Nothobranchius furzeri: one gene and its partners. The protein of the gene in region 2 purifies or fractionates together with the protein of the main gene of each other region. This does not show direct contact. Links are inferred from orthologs where the notes say so. Each region holds a gene or a part of one and is shown on either strand. Other genes may lie near its edges. The genes, in order: cdk8, med19a and polr2k.

Evidence for each region.
Region 1: the proteins of med19a (region 2) and cdk8 purify together in Homo sapiens (affinity purification with mass spectrometry; 8 studies listed by BioGRID and IntAct, counting the BioPlex papers as one, with this or other methods). This does not show direct contact. The link is inferred for Nothobranchius furzeri from reciprocal best matches to the Homo sapiens genes MED19 and CDK8.
Region 3: the proteins of med19a (region 2) and polr2k purify together in Homo sapiens (affinity purification with mass spectrometry; 3 studies listed by BioGRID and IntAct, with this or other methods). This does not show direct contact. The link is inferred for Nothobranchius furzeri from reciprocal best matches to the Homo sapiens genes MED19 and POLR2K.

The regions. Positions count from the first base shown.
Region 1 is NC_091747.1:51,013,853-51,018,343, reverse strand, and holds the end of cdk8 (cyclin-dependent kinase 8), read right to left. Parts: intron 4,431-4,491; coding exon 4,290-4,430; intron 3,984-4,289; coding exon 3,926-3,983; intron 3,858-3,925; coding exon 3,726-3,857; intron 3,638-3,725; coding exon 3,494-3,637; intron 3,007-3,493; coding exon 2,937-3,006; intron 2,817-2,936; coding exon 2,744-2,816; intron 2,652-2,743; coding exon 2,554-2,651; intron 2,458-2,553; coding exon 2,379-2,457; intron 1,716-2,378; coding exon 1,557-1,715; intron 1,409-1,556; coding exon 1,283-1,408; 3' UTR 1,064-1,282; downstream 1-1,063.
Region 2 is NC_091741.1:91,561,577-91,565,923, reverse strand, and holds part of med19a (mediator of RNA polymerase II transcription subunit 19-A), read right to left. Parts: intron 2,891-4,347; coding exon 2,757-2,890; intron 2,674-2,756; coding exon 2,577-2,673; intron 2,496-2,576; coding exon 2,401-2,495; intron 1-2,400. UniProt on the Homo sapiens protein: Component of the Mediator complex, a coactivator involved in the regulated transcription of nearly all RNA polymerase II-dependent genes.
Region 3 is NC_091759.1:1,440,666-1,444,580, reverse strand, and holds polr2k (DNA-directed RNA polymerases I, II, and III subunit RPABC4), read right to left. Parts: upstream 2,343-3,915; 5' UTR 2,211-2,342; intron 2,007-2,210; 5' UTR 2,001-2,006; coding exon 1,940-2,000; intron 1,685-1,939; coding exon 1,592-1,684; intron 1,491-1,591; coding exon 1,468-1,490; 3' UTR 1,372-1,467; downstream 1-1,371. Other genes in the region: stk3 (serine/threonine-protein kinase 3), read left to right, coding at 2,878-2,900, 3,592-3,672, 3,762-3,890. UniProt on the Homo sapiens protein: DNA-dependent RNA polymerase catalyzes the transcription of DNA into RNA using the four ribonucleoside triphosphates as substrates.

The DNA of each region.
Region 1 (4,491 bases), on a different chromosome or scaffold from region 2:
ATACTGCTGTTAAAAAGAAAAACAGATCATTATTTGTTAGAAATGCATTTAATTACAAATTAATGTTGAAATTAAAGGAAACGTGACTGCAATAACAATATTGCTATAAAGGGCTATACAGGGCTGAACTCTTAGTGACTAGTTGGTTTTTACCTTTTGATTATGTCCTTTGATGTATGTTTTTGTGTTCAGCACTTTGGTCCTGTGGGTGTTTTAAGTGCTATATAAATAAAGCTGGTATGGGATGACTAATGGGATACTGGGTCCTCAAAAGGAATTTAGTATAGCATTTTATCCCATTTTCAAGTTGCTGATTTGATTACAGTAAATATGTTTTAAATGGACATTACAGCACAAAACTATGTGTGCTAAATTATGCAACATAATTTCTATAAGCATTATTTTTTCAATACATGTACTTATTGACACGTTTTATATAAAAATGTGTATTATACTGTAAAATATGTCTTATTGTAAAACAATAACAGAGTAAAAGAAATGATGAATGACAAAATGCACTGAAATTGGTCCAAAATTGATGTTTCCACTTTTATTGTCAGGATACTTGTTTCATGTAAAATATTTAAATGCAATACAGTACAATGCATGTTCCATCTGCCATCCTCCATACGATTAGTTGGTTTTGTCGTCATGTTGTAAGGCTTACTCACAGTACACAGCAACTCACACACTCTGCTGTGTTACGCTTGTCATGAAAACAAAATCATGACAATAGATTAAATTAGAAACTACTAAAATCCTTACTCTGTCCTTTCTGAACAAAAAAAGCCTCCATCCCACAGCTGTGAGATCAAAAATCTCCCAGCCTGCTTTGCCGCAGTTCAGTCCTCAGCGGAGGCCCCTTACACACAAAAAAACAAAACAAATAGGAGGACTGAGAATCTGTTAACGTGGGCAGTCACGTAGCAGCTTTCGTCTCATCCAAGTTTTGACGGGACGAGGGGAACTGAAGCAGAGGAAAGGAGATGGCTCGTCTGTATTTTGCCTGATTAATGGAATATTTTATTTTTATCCTCTTGATCTGCCTTTCACCCATGAGGATTTGCTTTACGCTGTACTGGGATTGTGTTGTCTGACACTGGTGGAGTTGTTTTGTCTCTCTGAACTACCAGATCACAGCAGAGTGCCTTCAGAAGGTAGGGTGTGGGGTGTTGCACCATCCCCACATCCTTCAGTACATTCGTTCAGGCGGTCACAGAAATGGCTGTGTGAGTGTGTGTTCAGATTAGAAATGTGTGTGTTTATTTGTGGGAGGGGTGTTTCAGTAGCGGTGGGACTGGTGGGAGTACTGGGGTGGTTGTTGGGAGGTAGAGGAGTATCCCATGCTGCTTTGGGGCAGTGATGTGCTTGGTCCAGGATTCTGGTAGGCAGCATGTGGATTAGAGCGCTGCATGAACAACAACAACAACAAAAAAAGCTTTGTCAGTAAAAACTTCAAATTTCTTCTGTTTTCATCAGCAATTAGTTTCTTTATTTAGCATTTAGGACACAAGCTGTTCTGTTTGTGTGTCCAGATGAGCAGCAGAAAAGCTCACCTGGTAGTCTGAGGTCATAATGAGGCCACCTGAGGTAGTGGTGGGAGGGACAACCCGCACCTTCTTTGCAGGTGGGCCCTGGGTGTGGCTATTTTCTGGGTTGCCAGTGTGCCCCGCCCCGTTTGTGTGGTTGTTTCCCTGTTGCTGCTGCTGGTTCTTCTAAAACACCCAACAACAAAACAATCTAAACAATACTGTACATGTACTACAACATTTTAGTTTCTCATTTTTGCTTTGACAGGGGTGCTCCAAGGGGTGGCCAGGGATGGGGGGCCATGGCCACACCCTGGTAAATTGGTGGCCACCCCACTGCCCCCCACCAGGGAAGACCACCCCCCCACCTTCCCTAATAAATCACAATCATGTTCACACAAATTGTACATTCATCTTTTTTTAATTAGGACATACATTTTTACACTAACAAATAAATGTATTCTACTAAAAAAAAATTATCACAGCTTATATACTACGTATCCCATTGAGGCTCACTATATTTTTTCAAAAATATGTTCAAAAAGGTTTTGTTCAAACGACAACAGGCAAATTTTAAACTTAAAATTATAAAACAGCAAAATTTAAAACAAAAGCGGAAAAAAACTATGAACCTCTTAAATGTTTGTGTTCCTCAACTCTGAGGTAAATATGACGGACGCATAGGCCTTTAGTTCTAAATGAAAGATAACAAAGAAGCAATCGACAGCCACAGGGACCAATTTGGTGCCACCCCAAATTTATACTGCCCGCCCATGAGGATTATCTACGTACACCACTGCTTTTTGATTCAAATGCATTCATAAAATAAGTTTGTAAAGTAAATTTTACTTTGTCTCCTTTGTCCTCTGGCTCCTCCTCTGTCAAGAACTCTCTCTTGGGGTAGGGAATCTGACAACCTGCAAACACACTAGAAGAATGCAAAAACACCTCATCAACCTGTTCAGGAGTCTCCTCCGGCACGTTAGCCGCGCTAAAAGCCAGAACTAAATCTGCTGCAGCTCACTCAGACGTGGGAAGAGGCTCTTCTAAAAAGTACGGGTCCTGCATTGCCTGCTCCGATGTGATTCTACGGATGGGGTCCATGGTCAATAGTTTTTGCAGCTGCAATCAATAACGTGATTTTAATGTCAAACAAAAAGCCGTACCAGATATATCAGGCAGAGAAAGACTAAATCAAAAGCGCTTCAACTCACCAAGTGGAATGCTTTACTGTCTGGTTTAACTTTATGTTTTTCCATGTACTTTATAAGGCTGCAGTTTGTGTATCTGTATAAAAACAGGAGCAAACTATGAAGTGTGTGTAATTTTTGTGTATTAAGATATACTTTGCTTTGTTTTGATCTTAAAACAAATAAAAAACAGGACACAAGTGGTCTGCAGACTCACGTGTTCCTTCTGAAATCTTTCATCAGTGTGGAGTGCTCTGGCATCTTTTTGATGTCTTCCCAGTCTTTATCTGTTAGACCAAGGCAACAAAGGGTTAGGACGAAGGATCATTTATCTTTAAAGAAATTAAAAAATTATTTTTCCACAGCAACTTACAATTAAACAACATTTCTTTCATTTTTACACCAATTAGCTTTGGTTTTGTACTTAAACTCTGCAAATTTGCCCAAAATTTCTGCAGAAACCAAAGTGATCCTTCTAACTGACTGGTGAATTAAATAAATAGAGCGGCAGAGACGAGAAAAGAAAAAAGGAAAAGTGAAGCAGATTTTGTGAACTGGAAAGTATCGGTCCAAATGTAGGCCTGCAAGCAACCATCTCTAGGTTTGTGACTTGTATAAAGTCTGTGGTTTGATGTCCGGCGTCTACAGACCACATTAATACATTCAAAAACAGAGCAAGTAAAGACCGAGAAAATAATGCGTTTCATCACATTTCCTTCCAGAACATCGTAGCTGGAAAAATCTTGTGTAACACCAACACATTAACAGTCTCACCAGCAGGGAAGCCCATAACATTAAAGATTCGGTCCAGCTGGTCGTGGTGGTATGGGTTGCTGGTCTTGATGTCCTCCTGACGACAATGGAATATGGGCTCAGACGTTAGCAGCTCTGCAAAAATACAGCCAATCGCCCAGATGTCTGGGAGAAACGCACAGCACGTGCTGACATAAGTCAAAGCCACACCAATAAAAAACACGTGCAGAGCAGAAGTGGAAAAGGGTTTCACCGATGGCTTTGGTGTAGTGCCGAGCCCCCAGCAGCAGCTCAGGTGCTCTGTACCAGAACGTGACCACGACGGGGTCGAGATCAGCTAAAGGCTTCAGTGGTGAATTGAAGAGACGAGCAAACCCCATATCCGCTACAAAACAACAACGTGTGTTAGTTTATAAAGTAAAACTTTACTTAAGAAATGAACACGATACACACCGATCTTCACTCTACCCCTTTCGGGACCTTCTCCCATCACTAAAATGTTTGCTGGTTTCTGATGATGACAAACAGAAAGATAACAAAGATTTAGGAACAGCAGCTCACCGTTAGACCACAGAAGAGCAAGAAAACAGCACAGCAAGAAAGATCCAATCTAAACTAATTGTTGCTGCCCTCTAGTGGGCAAATTAATAACTTGTATTCTATTGTCTATTTTAAACTTCATGAAAGAGATGAGTATAATAAATGATACTGTTAAGAAATACCAACATTCAATTTAAAGTTAAAACAACTTAATACAAAGTTCAATCTTTTTACTTCCCTTCTACCCAAAGCCCCCTTTTGCCCCAAACCCTCTCACCAGGTCCCTGTGGAGGACCCAGTTGGCGTGGAGGTAATGGATGCCATCCAGAATCTGGTAGAGCAAAGACTTGACCATTCCTCTGGGTAGCTGAAGAGGCTTCTTGTTGGCTTTGGACGCTCTGTGAAACTTAATAATGTGCTGTGGGAAAAGGAGAGAATAATCACCGTGAGGCCTGCAAGCCTGATCTCCAATTTAAGAT
Region 2 (4,347 bases):
AGCACAGCCGACAAAGGTTTATGATGGGTCAGTCCTCCTGCATGCTCAGATCATTCCCTTCCCTTGCTTGAAAAATTGTTCCAAAATGAAAGTTGAACCCACATCTTTTTTATCTGTGAATTCAATGCTGTTTGGCGAGTCTCAAATAAAAATTTGGGCATCTTACTGTAAAAAATATACCATTAATGTAAAAATGAAACTCTAACTTAACTATGTCCACATCCAGAATCGAACCCGGGTCTTCCGCACGAAAGTCCGACATCTTTCTAGGCGAGCTAAAGCGCCAGTGACATCTTTCATATCTGTACCATTTATATCCTTGATGACAGCTGAAACAACGTTCAAAGAACGGTTCGGAGGGCGATGCCTGAGCGTGAACGCGCACGAAGCAGCCTGCTCGACCCGAGCAGCTCTCTTTTTCTGTGATTTTACAGAAAAACAGGCAATCACAGTAAAAATGCCAGGGCTCATTCTACAGGACCAGGGCATTGCAGGAGAATGTATGAAGAAGAAATTTATTATTTCTATAAATGTTTTGGCTGTCAAACTTCCATAATGCCCCTTTAAAGAAAGCCTTTCCCATTTCATGCTGCCAGCAATGGCTCCACATGGAAGAGAAATGTCATAAAATCTGAGAAAGGAAATAATGTATTTACACATAAAAGGTGAGGGCTACAAGATCAGCCAAGCTTTACATATCAGTCAGAATACTGTAGCAAAAGTGACCAAAAAATGTAAGACCAAAAAATGTAAGAAAGACGAAAGTGCAACCATCTTACAGAGACGTCCAGGCCGTCCATGGAAGTGAACATCTCAAAAGGAGCGTCTTCTGAAGACTGAAGAAAATCACCATTAAAGTTCACTGCAGTTAGTTAAAGCAGTAGAAAGCCAAACTGGAGTGACCGTTTCCCATGACACCATACAACGCACACTGCAGAGGAATGGCATACATGGGTATTGTCTACGAAGGAAGCCTCTCCTAAAGCTCATGCACAAAAAGCACACCTAGGATTTGCTAGGGCCCGTGCTGAAAGAGATGAAGACTACTGGCACTCTGTACTCTGGAGTGATGAGACAAAGATCACAGTTTGTGGAAGTAATGGTTTCAAAACTATGGCGTTGTAAAGGTGAGGATTTCAAAGAGAAATGCATGGTGCCTACAGTGAAACGTGGTGGTGGTGGCAGTGTCCTTATGTGGGGCTGCATGAGTGCTGCTGGTGTTGGGGAGCTGCATTTCATTGATGGCATCATGAACTCAACGATGTCCTGTTCTATACTGAAGGAGAAGATGCAGCCATCACTCCATGCACTTGATCATTGGAGGGGATAATGCAAAGAAGGATTCTCCAGAGAATCAAGAAAATGATGGACAACCCTGAGCATTCTCTTCACAAGACTGTCCGACAACGGAAGAGTGTCTTCAGTCAGAGGCTTCTTCAGTTTGGCTGCAACACTGACCGCTACTGGAGATCCTTCCTGCCAACAGCCATTGTAATATACAATAACTCTTTGATGACTTGATTATTATTATTATTCTGAGCTACTACAGCAATCAATTTCCCTCTGGTATTAATAAAGTATCTTTGAATTGAATTGAATTTGAATCATTGTGCACGTTTCCACCACGACAATGATCCAAAACGCATCTAAAGCTACTGTTGCATTTCTGAAGAAGAACAGGGTGAAGGTGATTGAATGGCCAAGTATGTCTCCTGATCTGAACACCTGTGGGGAATTCTGAAGGTTGAGCATCACTCTCCATCCAGCATCCAGATTATAAAACACGTTATTCTTGAAGAATGGAAAAAGATAGATGTTAATGTTTATGTTTATTTATTTAGCAGACGCTTTTATCCAAAGCGACTTACAATTTATAACCTATAGGGCATGTTGTGATCTGTGGGGGAAACCGGAGTACCCGGAGGAAACCCGAGCATGCATGGGGAGAACACGCAACTCCACGCAGAAATAGCGACAGTGCAACAACTGTGCCACCATGCAGCCCGATGTTGCAATATGTCACCATCTTGTTCATGCCATGCCTAGAAGACTTGATGTAGTAGTTTTTGTTGAGGGGTGTATTCCTTTTTGCTAAAACCAATTTTAGCAAAACTGAAGATTTTGTGATCCAAGTCATATTAATAGCCTTAATTTCATGTTATGGAGTTAAGCAAGTGTTTAATAAAACCCAGCCTTGTTAAAATTCTGGAAAATTTTTTTAGTTCATTGAGCTACTGATTAAATTTGTACTCTTCAAAGGGGGTGTACTCATTAATACTGAGAACTGGATGAAAAAACAAAACTGCTGTGCGACTTATGTCACAATGCTATTCCGAGTCAACATTTTAAATCTTTTTAATGCCCAGCTAGAAACTTAATTAGTGTTTAAAATTTTCTCACCTTCTTTTTTTTCTTGTCTTTCTTCTTTTTCTTGCGGTCAGGATCATCGTCCCTCTTTTTCTTCTTTTTCTTGGGATCAGAGTCTGACGGAGTTTCTAAAATCAGAACAGACGTGTCAGTGTGGTGAAAAACACGTAGCACTTGTTTCAGCTGACCTCACTAACACGCCACCAGACCTTGTGGGAGGGGGTCCTGTGGTCGATTGTGCTTGTGTTTGTGTTTGCTCTTCTTCTTTGGGGGCTGTATGTGCATCAGTCTGTACTGTTCTGGAAGCTGGAAAAAAAAAAAAACACTACATGTTACATAACGGGGATAAGATGATCATTTATTATCAGGCATAATCAGTGTTGTGGTACCGGTCCTGTATGTAGTCTGAATCCTGTGAGCAGAGCACCAGTCAGCGGGCTGAACGAGTTCCCACAAACGGGAGGCTTATCTATCAGAGAGCGCAGAGAGCTGCCGTCCTGAGTGCCCGGACAGTCGATCATACCTGCAACAAAAGAGACACTATAAAAGTGGAAATAAAGAGCGTGGCTGAAAGGGATCCGTGTAATTTACAGGCCATAGTGAGGAGTCCAGGTGAGATTAAAGAGGCTAAAAAAAAACAACAAATCAGAAACAATGAAAGTTAAACTTTTGGTTTTAGAGATACAGCCTCAGCCCTCAAAGTCTAATTCATTAGAGCGCCCAGAAGTCCCAGCACCTGTCAGAATGCAGGTTTAGATTAACTATAGCTTAAGCCACTGGAGTCAAACCCTGGCCCTCGAGAACTGACCTGCCAGTGCATATGTTGCCAATACTACAGATCCCAGAATGCTTTGCTGCATTATCAGCAGCATCCATGCTACCAGTCTCGAGGAGGGTACGGCTGCGGACCTGGAGACCACAGATTCGGTCTCAGACAAACAAAAAAATGACTGCTTAGTTAGCACCCAGCAATTTGCCAACTTTGAAGCCCAAATATCAAGATTTCAACAGCTCAGTAATCTATTTGTGGCCGACGTGAAAAGCGCAGAAAGCAACCTCCAAATGGAGCCAAATGAGCTCCGGTGTAGTAAAACGCTCAAATTTGACTCTGTGGCTTCTGCTCAGTTTCCATCTGATGTGTTTTATTTCAAAGTTAACTGCCCGTGTGTTGTTAATTTTAAACTTTGGTTATTCCAGAGTAACTATTAATGCAAGACTATGGTTTGTTTCCATATAAAACATTCAACAACACAAATCAGAAGATAAAGAAAATTTTAAGCATTTGCATCCATAAACATTTTCCCATGACTTTGTTCTAGTTTCTCCAGTTTGGCCCAGAGTGAATTTCAGTTTGACACCCCTGGCTTAAACGATGACAAATACAGGTAGAAAATCCTGAAAAAGTATAGTATTTTGTCACTTGTTTAAAAAAATTCATCTGACCTATTATGTAAATTAGGGATGCACGGATAACTTTTTTACCACAAGGAAGGGAAACCATAGAAAGTCATTGCTAAAGAAGCATGTCAGTTCCACTTTACTAAGTCCATCAGGGACCGGACAAGTTGCAAGTGTGATATTCTGGCCACAGGGGGCGGTGGGGGTCTGAGTGACATTTTTTTCACCCTAAGGGTCATTTTAGTACATACTGGCTAAAGAAAACGATGTAAAAATATGAAAAAGTTGCAGAGTAAGCCTCAAGTCCAGGTGTGGTGTTGATATCTAATGATTTGGGCTCCATGTCCTCTCCTGGTGTTGGTCCATTGTGTTTTCTGAAGTCCACAGTAAACTCAGAAATTTACCAGGTACAGCTGAGGAAATTAATCAATAATCGATGCATCAAGATGCAGACATTAATTACAAATCATTGAAAAGGCCCACCATGATAAATTATTGTATAATGCAGTTTTTTAACAGCAGCATAAATATTTGATTCTAAAGTTGCTCCAAAGACCTTCAAAGCTATTACATGGCCCCATA
Region 3 (3,915 bases), on a different chromosome or scaffold from region 2:
TTTCTCCCCAGAAGAAGCTACAACAATGTTCTGCTGAGCTGTGGTGGCCTCATGGAGGGGGCCATCGACTAGCACACTGCTGCTAACCACTAAAACATTATCCCTCTCCTGATAATAACTTTTTGCTTTCCTTGACGTGCGATGTGCTAATACTAGTTTATCCGTTTAATTATAGATCCACTAGAACAAACACAATAAAGTTTATCTTTCACCAAATAGAATATTTACTAAGACATCACAATATAACTATAGACACATTACTTGTCTTTGTGTGTGCGCGTGTGTGAGTATGCGTGCGCACGTGTGTGTGTGTGTGTGTCTTTGTGTGTGCGCGTGTGTGAGTATGTGTGCGCACGTGTGTGTGTGTGTGTGTGTGTGTGTGTCTGCTCTGTCTTCTCGATCCCCAGTGAGTCGTGGAGGATGCCTGCTTACACTGAGCCAGGATTCTCTGGAGGTTTCTTCCTGTTAAAAGGGAGTTTTCCTCCCCACTGTCGCTTTATGCTTGCTTAGTATGAGGATTGCTGTATAGTCACTGACACTAGTCAGTGACTTGATGCAATTTGCTTGGTTCCTTATATAGGAAACATTATTTCTGATTGGCTTAATGAACTGACCTGGATTGGTATGTTTATTATGTGAAGTGCCTTGAGACGACTCTTGTCGTGATTTGGCGCTACATAAATAAACTTGAATTGAATTGAATTTGTAAAAGCTAACAAAAACCTTTTCTTCACTTAAATATTTTTGAGTCAAACGTTTTTGAGAAACTGATTTTCTTTCCACATTTTATTTAGACACTTTTTTTACAATCTTCTTCGTAACTAAATATTCTTGTTACTAATTTCTTCTCTTGCATGTTTGATTAAAACAAGTCTCACTTAGAAATGAGACCCCATAATTTAACAAGATTATGAAAATTTTAAAATAAACACGACAACGTGCTCTCAGATAAACAAACCAAAAAACATTGGTGAATCTGTGAATTGTTGGCCAGCAGATGAGAATTTTCCTTCTTAGAGAAATGTGGTTAAAACTTTGAATTTAAATCCTAAAGGTTGATTTTTATTTCAGGAATGACTGTGGATCATATCTATTTAGCAGATGTGTTAAACTAACTGAAGAGTTTTCATCCTGTTAATGTTGCTGGCCACAAAGGATTTTAAAAGAAAACAGTCAAATCAAACTGATTTTTCTAAAATAAAACTTTTATGCATCATTATTATTTACTAAAATAACATAAGGAACACCTGACACAAACCGCGGATGCCAAAAACCAAAAAGGCTGAATTTATCTTGCTGCTCTAAGATGTTTCAGCAAGAAGTGCAATTTAGGAATGCCACGACCCGAATGAGCGAGAATCTACACCAACATGAAAGCTGAAGCCCCAGTTTATGTTTATTTACAAGGTCAGACTCAATAAAAACAGAAAACAACAACTAAAGATCAATCTGCAGCTCCACTCCTCTTCATCGTGCATCAAAAACAACCACTGGAATCAATGAGTCAAGGAAAATAAGCACACACACACACACACACACACACACACACACACACACACACACACACACGAGAGAGAGAGAGAAAGGATACATCTCTTTGTTCTCTTCTTGTACATGATTCTGTAGCCACATTCTCTGCATCTGATCGGGTCGCGGGCCTTTATTTCGTTTTCAGTGTGACACTCTGCATAAAAAAAAAATATATACATTTATAAAGACATATAAATGTATTTCAGAACTGCTGCAAAATTAATTTAGAACAGTATAATTGTGCAAACACATTAACAATCGACGTTTACATGCTGTCAGGCTAAAATGGAATATTTACTAATAAGAAATATGTTTTAATTAGTCATAACTAGTATTTTTCTGATGACTTTTCTATATTTCGTGAATAAAACCATCAAGAATTGCAATGATAGTTGCTTCATCAGCAAACCTCCACAAATGTAGATCATTGGTTGCTGCTTGGGCGGCTGTAGATCTTTCTGTGTGTCCATTTTGTTCTATAAAAGACAGAAATGTAAACATTTCATCAACAACCCTTCTTCTTGTTAGCATGCTAACAGAAACAGCATGGTGCTCCGGACATTAGCTCAAAACTGCATAAACGTCTCTGAATTTGGTGAAACTGTATACGCACAGAGCACAAATTAAACCGTGTACATGCATTTAGTTAATTACTGATGAAAGGAAGCGAAATGACTCACCGTTTAACTGCGTAATTTGGGAAATGTTTACTGTTTTCACACACTAAACCATCCGCTTTTACGATTGGGTTTCTGCGCTTGCGTCAAATTTCTTCTTCTTGGTTTTACAGGACGATCGACACGCTTTACGTGCCTTTACTGTCACCCAGCGGTTTTGAGGCATTGTGAATTATTCGAAACACATCTGAACTGATTTTAAAAATTGGAAGCAAAGAATTTTTTTTTGTATATTTTATACTAAAAATGTTCCTGTCTTGACACAACATCCTCTTGAAAGCAAATCCACAACACGGGTGTTTCATTTTTCAATTACCGTTACGCTACAAATTCTGGCTTAATTTAGTATTCTTTTGGGACCTTATGAATAAATTAGACTTTATTTAGAGTTTTTGTTTTTGACTCGAGCCAAACATTGTCAATCTGATTCGTAATTGTGTTTTTGTAAAATAAAACAATGTAAAGTGCGCTTCCGTCCCGACAGGGGGCGCTGTCGCAGCGTCGAACACAAGAATGTCCATCATTTGAAGAGCTCCCCCCAGCTGGCCCTCCTCCACTAGTTTGTGACAACAACGAATCTGCCGACAATGTCCACGTCTTGACTACCACTGACAAACCCGCGCTCTCTTTTTCATACTTTGTTTGACTTTTGTTTCCGAGTTGGTGTACCATGGAGCCGTCCGCGCCTAAAAGGTTTGTGAACGTTTGCTTTGAGACCTCTGCTTTACCACCAGGCTAATGTAGGCGGTAGCTCAGGATGCTAATGCTAAGCGAATTCAGTTCTCTCAAACTTTCCACAGAGATAAACAAGCAGAAAGTAAAAACACAAAACCGGTTAAAACCTCCATTGAGATTATGGTTTGTTTAATTGTTTAGACGTTTTTGGATTTCGCGTCGTTGGGGGTGATTTCATTGTCGCTTCAAAAATATATAATAAATTAAATGTGTATTAAGGAAAATCATAATTTATTCGAAGTAACTGTTTACTTTATTTTGGACCGATCTATTTACTGGTTAGCTTAAGCTAGCACCTTTTAAGTTAATTAAATTTAAAATGTATTTAAATTTTATAAGACAGTAGGATTAAATTGTTTATTATCTGTTTAATTTGTGTACATTGATACTAGGTTGCATTAAATCCAGATTATGATCAAAGACCAAAAATATCTCAAAATTTTTTTAAACAGTATTTTTATCTAGATTTCATCAATTATTTTCATCATTCCTCTTAAGTTATAAACACACACTCAAGTTCTCCTACAGAAAGTAATGTTTACTCTATAAAATAAACTTTGATGTGCATATATAAAGAAATATTGTGTCTTTCTTCCATTATTAAAGAGACATTGTGTTAAATACACAATATTTTTGCTGAATTTTTCAGCAAGCTGAAAAAGCTGAGCGAGGACAGCTTGACCAAGCAGCCGGAGGAGGTGTTTGATGTTTTAGAGAAACTTGGTGAAGGGTGAGATGTTTTAACTTGATCTAATTACTGTGTAAATCATAGTTTATTTAGTAGTTTCACTTAAAAGATGCATTTCTTTGTGTAATCAGCTCCTATGGCAGTGTATTTAAAGCCATTCATAAAGAGTCAGGGCAGGTGGTGGCCATCAAGCAGGTTCCTGTGGAGTCTGACCTGCAGGAAATCATCAAGGAGATCTCCATCATGCAGCAGTGTGACAGGTGACACCCCAACTTTCTTTAATTC